Linked DNA regions of Arabidopsis thaliana. Each later gene encodes a partner of the first gene's protein in a complex. Each region holds a gene or a part of one and is shown on either strand. Other genes may lie near its edges. A codon is read from its position in the direction of its gene.

Region 1 (3,923 bases):
AAAAAGAAGAAATAGTAAATATCCATTAGAAGAAGAAGACGAAGCAGAGGAATCTAGGGTTTATGCTACATTGAAGCAAAGATGGTTACGAGCAGCGATCAAATCCAAAATGGTTCTGAAGAGCAATCAAAAAGATCAGAGATTTACACATACGAAGCACCATGGCAGATCTACGCAATGAACTGGAGCATTCGTCGAGACAAGAAGTATCGGCTCGCAATCACAAGCCTCATCGAGCAATATCCGAATCGCGTCGAAATTGTTCAGCTTGATGAATCAAATGGTGAGATTCGTTCAGATCCAAATCTCTGCTTCGAACATCCTTACCCACCAACGAAAACCAGTTTCATACCCGATAAAGAATGTCAAAGACCCGATCTTTTAGCTACTTCTAGTGATTTCCTTCGTTTATGGCGAATCTCTGATGATGAATCTCGTGTTGAGCTTAAGTCTTGTCTTAGTAGTGATAAGAATAGTGAGTTTAGTGGTCCAATCACTTCATTTGATTGGAATGAAGCTGAGCCTAGACGAATTGGTACTTCTAGTATTGATACCACTTGTACTATTTGGGATATAGAGCGTGAAGTTGTTGATACCCAGCTTATTGCTCATGATAAAGAGGTTTATGACATTGCTTGGGGTGGTGTTGGTGTCTTTGCCTCTGTCTCAGAGGATGGTTCCGTTAGAGTGTTTGATCTCCGTGATAAGGAGCATTCGACGATTATCTACGAGAGTGGTGAGCCTAGTACTCCTTTGGTGCGACTTAGTTGGAACAAGCAGGATCCGAGGTATATGGCTACTGTTATCATGGGCAGTGCTAAAATTGTTGTGTTGGATATTCGGTTTCCGGCTCTTCCTGTCGTGGAGCTTCAGCGACATCAGGCTAGTGTCAATGCTATAGCTTGGGCTCCTCATAGCTCTTCCCATATCTGCTCCGCTGGAGATGATTCTCAGGCGTTGATTTGGGATATATCTTCCATGGGACAGCATGTTGAAGGTGGTCTGGATCCGATTCTAGCTTACACAGCCGGCGCTGAGGTTGAGCAGCTTCAGTGGTCATCTTCTCAGCCTGATTGGGTTGCCATTGCCTTCTCTAACAAGCTGCAGATTCTCCGGGTCTGATTATGTTTTACAGATTTCTGTTGGATACTTGGATGTAAAAACTCGTTGCTATTGTTGATTAATGATCTTTTGATCTCTGACTCTAAGCCTCATTGAGTTTCCTTTCATAGTATGGTCTGTGTAGGAACTATGTACCTTCAAAATTGTGAATAACTAGCTTTAGCATTGGATTTGATTAGACGTATGGAAGTTAGTTTTGAACAGAGAGCATGTGACATAACGGGGAACTTGAAGTAGATTATGACTAACACCAGCATTTATGTTTCTCTGCCCTCGAGCTGATGGAGTTGCAGGATTTTGTCTGCCTCACCATCGTATGGAATGTGTAGCTTTCTATGGTAGTTGTTATAAGTTTTGTCTCCATTGTCCATATCACTTTATGGGTATGTAGATTTGTGAAATTAGGCATTTGTAACATCGTACAGATGATGTATTCTTCATTACTTCAATACAGGCATATAGACTCTCTGTCCAACTTAAAAGGCATACAAGGTCTGTGGTTTACCAAAATCAGCTTTACTAAATCCTTTGGCCAATATTCTCTCAGCCAGTCCTAAGAACCTCTGCTCTAAAAAGTCTTAGCTTTGAAAGTCAGACAAATGGAGAGCAGCCTTATCCTCCTTTTATAACCGTGACCACACACACAAATGAAGAAGCCCAAATGAAAGGCCCAAAAATCTAAAAAATAGGTGAAGGAGGGACTTTGTGAATATGTGATCATAGAAACATGAAGAGACAAGAGAGTGGTAAAACCACAACCATAGAAACAAGTAAGAAAGCTATCCAGAATCTAATCTTATTTGCCTCCAAGTCATCAATTCTTTATCCTATATTACTAGTCTCTGCTTCACCAATCCTTTTTGCTCTCCTGTCTGCTACAAACCTTAACTTGGATTCTTTCTGGTCACCATGGCTTCGGTTACTTTCTCTGTCCCCAAGGTACCTTCCTCCTTCTTCTTCTTCTCTTCTTCAGGTCTCTCTTACACAAGTTAACTAAATGTTGTGTTTTGTTTTCAGGGTTTCACTGAATTCTCAGGATTGCGAAGCTCCTCTGCTTCTCTTCCCTTCGGCAAGAAACTTTCTTCCGATGAGTTCGTTTCCATCGTCTCCTTCCAGACTTCTGCAGTGAGTTCTCTGTTCTCCTCCAACATTATTTGTAGCTTACGTGTTCTTCCTTATGATGATCATCAACTATATGAAATGTTTGTACCTATATGCATGTCTATCGATAAATCGGATGAATTATGTTTGCTTCTGTTTCTCGCCGGTTTTGTAAACTATTTGGATGGTTGTTCTGTTTGTGTATCAGATGGGAAGCAGTGGTGGATACAGGAAAGGTGTGACTGAGGCCAAGCTTAAGGTGGCCATTAATGGATTCGGTAGGATCGGGAGGAACTTCCTGAGATGTTGGCATGGTCGCAAGGACTCTCCTCTTGATATCATTGCCATTAATGACACTGGTGGCGTCAAGCAGGCTTCGCATTTACTTAAATACGACTCTACTCTCGGAATCTTTGATGCTGATGTCAAACCTTCTGGAGAGACTGCAATCTCTGTTGATGGAAAGATCATCCAAGTTGTCTCTAACCGAAACCCGTCTCTTCTCCCTTGGAAGTAAGTCGAAAAACCACTTATGTGATCAGTCTTTTTATCTCAAGTCTAGAATAAGCATTTGAATTGGATATGGTTGGTATCTTAGGGAGCTAGGAATTGACATTGTCATCGAAGGAACCGGAGTGTTTGTGGATAGAGAAGGTGCAGGGAAACACATTGAAGCTGGTGCCAAGAAGGTTATCATTACTGCTCCAGGCAAAGGAGATATTCCAACTTATGTCGTTGGTGTCAATGCAGATGCTTACAGTCATGATGAACCTATCATCAGCAATGCATCTTGCACTACCAACTGTCTTGCTCCCTTTGTCAAAGTTCTTGACCAGAAATTCGGTATGCAATCCGTTTTCCGCTTTCGCTTTTCGTGTTCTCTCACGGGATCAATGAAACGGGTTTTAATGTGTTTGTAACATTGCAGGTATCATAAAGGGTACAATGACGACTACTCACTCTTACACCGGTGACCAGAGGTTGCTAGACGCGAGTCACCGTGATCTAAGGAGAGCAAGAGCAGCTGCTTTGAACATTGTTCCTACTTCTACAGGAGCAGCTAAAGCTGTGGCTCTTGTGCTCCCTAACCTCAAAGGAAAACTCAACGGGATCGCTCTCCGTGTACCAACACCAAACGTATCAGTGGTTGATCTCGTTGTGCAGGTCTCAAAGAAGACATTTGCTGAGGAAGTCAACGCTGCTTTCAGAGATTCTGCAGAGAAAGAGCTTAAAGGTATACTCGATGTCTGCGATGAGCCACTAGTGTCCGTTGATTTCAGATGCTCAGATTTTTCAACGACCATTGATTCATCACTCACTATGGTTATGGGAGATGATATGGTTAAGGTGATTGCTTGGTATGATAATGAATGGGGTTACTCACAGAGAGTTGTTGACTTGGCTGACATTGTTGCCAACAACTGGAAGTGATTTCATCAAACTTTGTTTCATGTTTTTCCATTTTTTTCTCTTTCTCTTTTTTACATTATGGTTCTCAAAATATCGGTGAAGACTGTATAATTGTAGTATGGATTTGTAATAAATAATCATAAACTATTCAAACTTGTTTACATTTTGTGTTTTGTGATACACTTTTCAGTATAGCTAATGGCCTCTTGATTATGATTATGAGTTTGATATATCAAAGTTAGTTGAATCTTATAAGTTACAGGGAAACAAAAATGCAGAGGAGATTTTAT
Region 2 (3,923 bases), on another chromosome or scaffold:
GCTGGATTAAAGGCGGAGGTGAGCCTACACTATATTACAATGTTTTATATTATGAAGGTAACTTTTTTTATGAGAATTTTGATTGGATTTGGTTCAACTAATGGTGGTTTTAAAATATCAATGATAGGTGTTAAAATCTTTTTCCTGGCCACAATATATGCATTGATCGGATGTCCACTCTCTTATGTACTATGGTACAGGCCACTCTACCGAGCCATGAGGTAATATTCCTGCTCACTGGTTCTCTTCCATTTGTATAAGTACAATTACAGGCGATATAATTGAAATACATTTTACGGCCTTGCAGGACTGACAGTGCTTTGAAGTTTGGTTGGTTTTTCTTCACCTACTTGGTGAGTTCATAAAACCTATTTATATCTTACCTTTAAGTAGATATACTTCCATTTTCCACATGATTGACCTGAGCTCCTTACAGATTCACATTGGCTTCTGCATCGTTGCTGCCATCGCCCCTCCAATCTTTTTCCATGGAAAATCATTAACGTAAGTCTTCCAATAATAGCCTACGTTTCTACTTGCGTTTGAGTGTACTCTTACTTCATATGTAGTTGGTTAGTCTGGTGAGGGCTTCAATTGGAAAGTTCTAAATTGTTCTGAAAGGTTTATTAATATTCAGTTGTTACAAAATAATGAGGATTATGACTACAAGTAGAAGTGAGAATCTAGCTGTGATTCACCTCTGTATGTTTTGTTGCCTTGAGATTAACTTAAAAACCCTTTCTCTTATTTCGATCAACAGGGGTGTGCTTGCAGCAATTGATGTCATCTCAGACAGTTTATTAGCTGGGGTATGAGCTATACACCTATTTTACATTTCATGACGACGCCTATAATATATTCAATGTGTCTAACCCTAATGAATGATGGCAGATCTTCTACTTTATCGGATTCGGTCTCTTCTGCTTGGAGTCACTGCTGAGTCTATGGGTTCTTCAGGTAAGCCTCTGATCATACTTTTCATGGCTTCTTCAAAACTGTTGACGTTGATGAAACCAGTAAACATTTGATTGATCTGGTTTCCCATTTTGGCTTTGCAGAAAATTTACCTCTACTTTAGGGGAAACAAGTGAAAAGGAGATAAAGAGGAAGATGATGGTAATTTTCCCTTACGATATAAGGTCTGAAATATGTGTATCTCCTATGAATGTAATTACCATTTTACCGTTTGATGCGTTGTGTTGATTGAGGTAAATTCTTTAGTTACTATAGTAGCAAGAGAGAGTGGTTGTTCGGCCATTTCTTTATGTTTTTTACTCTGTTCTTCTCTGGTCTGTAATATACCAATATCGTCTCTTAGCTTTTGGGATTTTTTTTCGGCGAAGTGGATGGACTATTTAGACAAAAAAAAATCATAGCTATGAATTATTAGTAGCGACTCTCTTCGGTCTGAATCTTAGAATCTGGTCCTTCTGATTATCATTGCGTATAACAAAGTATAGATGTTTCGATATGGCCGTGAACTTTATGAATTTTTTTTTTTGCAAACACCATGACTCGAGAGAGATAAAACTTCGTTAAATTCTTCTGTTGAGCAAAATAAGAACTTTTTTTCATTTGCAAACTCCATGAGTCAAAACTCAAAAGAGATTAAAGTAATTTTTTTGGAAAGATTTAATGTGAGTCCATAGTTTTTACTTTTTAACCTAACAAATTCTCTGACCCGTTATAGTTTCATGCTTGACATGGAAGTTGTATGGTGGTTGGTGGAGACTACGTTCAATGTGTCCAAGAATAAGCAACTAGTGCCGACTCTATCGCGGTCGATAAATAAACCATGGTTTTGTTTTTTTAATCCCGATGTAATCTCTTTTACTAATTACCCTACGGTGAAATTCATGAGTAATAAACTTCTGGTATCTGTTCACAAAAAAAAAAAAAAAAAAAAAACTCTTGGTGTCTTTATTAATTGGTAGGCTTGAAGCCCATTGTTAAGGTAACGCAAGAAGGCTTTGATCCCTATAGAAAAAAATAAAAGCATAAAAAGGTAAGTTGTTCAAAGACCATAAAGATTCGAAGCCAAGGGGGGATATACGGTGACGTGTAAATGTGACCCACATAATACTCTCTCCTTCATCTTCAGACCTTAAACACCTAATCCCCATCTGTCCAATTAGAATCTCCCACGTGTCAATTCAAATATCCAAATCCCAAAAAAATAAGCAAATAACCACCAAGCAACGTCTCCCTCCATGCCCTGTTAGTTTTATCACTTCATCGGCAACTCCACTCCTCTCCCAAACTCTATTCTCCAAATTATCTTTTAGCCAAAAAAATCAAACAAAATTACCATAAGTTTATTACTTCATGAAGTAAATAAGATATGATCTTTGGTTTTTTAATGGCTATAAATGTTTTCTTATCCTCTTATCTTATCAACAACATCTTAACATAGAGACTAATCAACATTACAAACAATTTTACTTCAAGAAACCAAAACATGAGCCAATCATCACACAACCACATTAAACCAAAACAAAACAAAATAAAACTCCTTTTCTTCTCTGCAAATTGCCATCTGTTTTTCCTATAGACCCATTGTCCTCCTCTCATTTCTCTCTTTCCCCATTTAATCTTATTTTCAAAAAAAAAAAAAATCACATCTCTATATCACCACACAAAAAACCATAAAATCAAAAATCGTTACCCACATTTCTTTCATTCTATCCTAAATCCTCATCACTCAACCTGAGCTCACAAAGCTAAACAAAAAAAAAAGAGCTTAGGCGGAGAAGAAGAGGAGACCAAAACACCAAACAAACAACAATGGCTGTCTCAACTATCTACTCAACACAAGCTCTCAATTCAACTCATTTCTTAACCTCTTCTTCCTCCTCCAAACAAGTCTTCCTCTACCGTCGTCAACCACAAACCAACCGTAGATTCAACACACTCATCACTTGCGCACAAGAAACCATCGTGATCGGACTAGCTGCTGACTCTGGCTGCGGCAAAAGTACCTTTATGCGGAGGCTCACCAGCGTCTTTGGTGGCGCTGCTAAGCCACCAAAAGGCGGGAACCCTGATTCCAACACACTCATCAGCGACACGACCACTGTGATCTGTCTTGATGATTACCATTCTTTGGATAGGTACGGTAGGAAAGAGCAGAAAGTCACCGCTTTGGACCCACGCGCCAATGACTTTGATCTCATGTATGAGCAAGTCAAAGCTCTTAAGAATGGTATAGCCGTCGAGAAACCGATTTATAACCATGTCACTGGACTTCTTGACCCTCCGGAGCTTATTCAGCCTCCTAAGATTCTTGTCATCGAAGGTCTTCACCCAATGTAAGCTACACATACTCTGTTATGATACTCTGTTTTGTATCTTAGACATACTCAAATTTTAGAGTTTGGAAGTCTCTTATCTTGTCGGAATTTCGATGATTAAGAATCTGGACTTAGATTTATACTAGAATCAGTATCAGAATAATTAAAGATGGATCTTTGAATCTATGCATGTAGTGTGTGACACCGATTAATTTTTATTCGAATAATTAAGTCTATAGTTTTGGTACTTGTAATGTTTTATAATAATATTTATCTACTTGTGAAGGTTTGATGAGCGAGTAAGAGACTTACTAGACTTCAGTATCTACTTGGACATTAGCAACGAAGTCAAATTCGCTTGGAAAATTCAGGTGAATTTCTTTGAATAATTCAACTACATTTACACCATTTTGTGGAACGTTTTCGGTTTATCTTATAAAACTGAATCTGTAACGTTTTTGATGGTCACAGAGGGACATGGCTGAAAGAGGTCACAGTTTGGAGAGCATCAAAGCGAGTATCGAAGCCCGAAAGCCCGACTTCGATGCATTCATCGGTAACACTCCTAATTTCTTGATGTAACCCCGTGTCATATTCGGCTTGATCAGTTTATAATATTTTCAATGGCTTATA

The links.
Region 2: the proteins of GAPA (region 1) and PRK are in contact, whole or in part, in a crystal structure (PDB 6KEZ), measured with the Arabidopsis thaliana proteins. Residues at the interface, in NP_566796.2 of Arabidopsis thaliana: Lys312 (codon at 3,397), Thr313 (codon at 3,400), Phe314 (codon at 3,403), Glu316 (codon at 3,409), Glu317 (codon at 3,412), Ala320 (codon at 3,421), Arg323 (codon at 3,430), Lys328 (codon at 3,445), Asp365 (codon at 3,556); in NP_174486.1 of Arabidopsis thaliana: Lys292, Asp327, Ile330, Glu333, Phe343, Tyr344, Gly345, Thr348, Leu352.

The regions. Positions count from the first base shown.
Region 1 is NC_003074.8:9,793,195-9,797,117, forward strand, and holds GAPA (glyceraldehyde 3-phosphate dehydrogenase A subunit), read left to right. Parts: upstream 1-1,667; 5' UTR 1,668-2,031; coding exon 2,032-2,061; intron 2,062-2,139; coding exon 2,140-2,247; intron 2,248-2,431; coding exon 2,432-2,736; intron 2,737-2,821; coding exon 2,822-3,066; intron 3,067-3,151; coding exon 3,152-3,654; 3' UTR 3,655-3,851; downstream 3,852-3,923. Other genes in the region: LWD2 (Transducin/WD40 repeat-like superfamily protein), read left to right, coding at 82-1,122. UniProt on the Arabidopsis thaliana protein: Involved in the photosynthetic reductive pentose phosphate pathway (Calvin-Benson cycle). Catalyzes the reduction of 1,3-diphosphoglycerate by NADPH.
Region 2 is NC_003070.9:11,529,884-11,533,806, forward strand, and holds the start of PRK (phosphoribulokinase), read left to right. Parts: upstream 1-2,315; 5' UTR 2,316-2,784; coding exon 2,785-3,308; intron 3,309-3,576; coding exon 3,577-3,661; intron 3,662-3,761; coding exon 3,762-3,846; intron 3,847-3,923. Other genes in the region: SCAMP5 (SCAMP family protein), read left to right, coding at 1-18, 128-221, 308-353, 437-504, 761-809, 892-957, 1,059-1,091.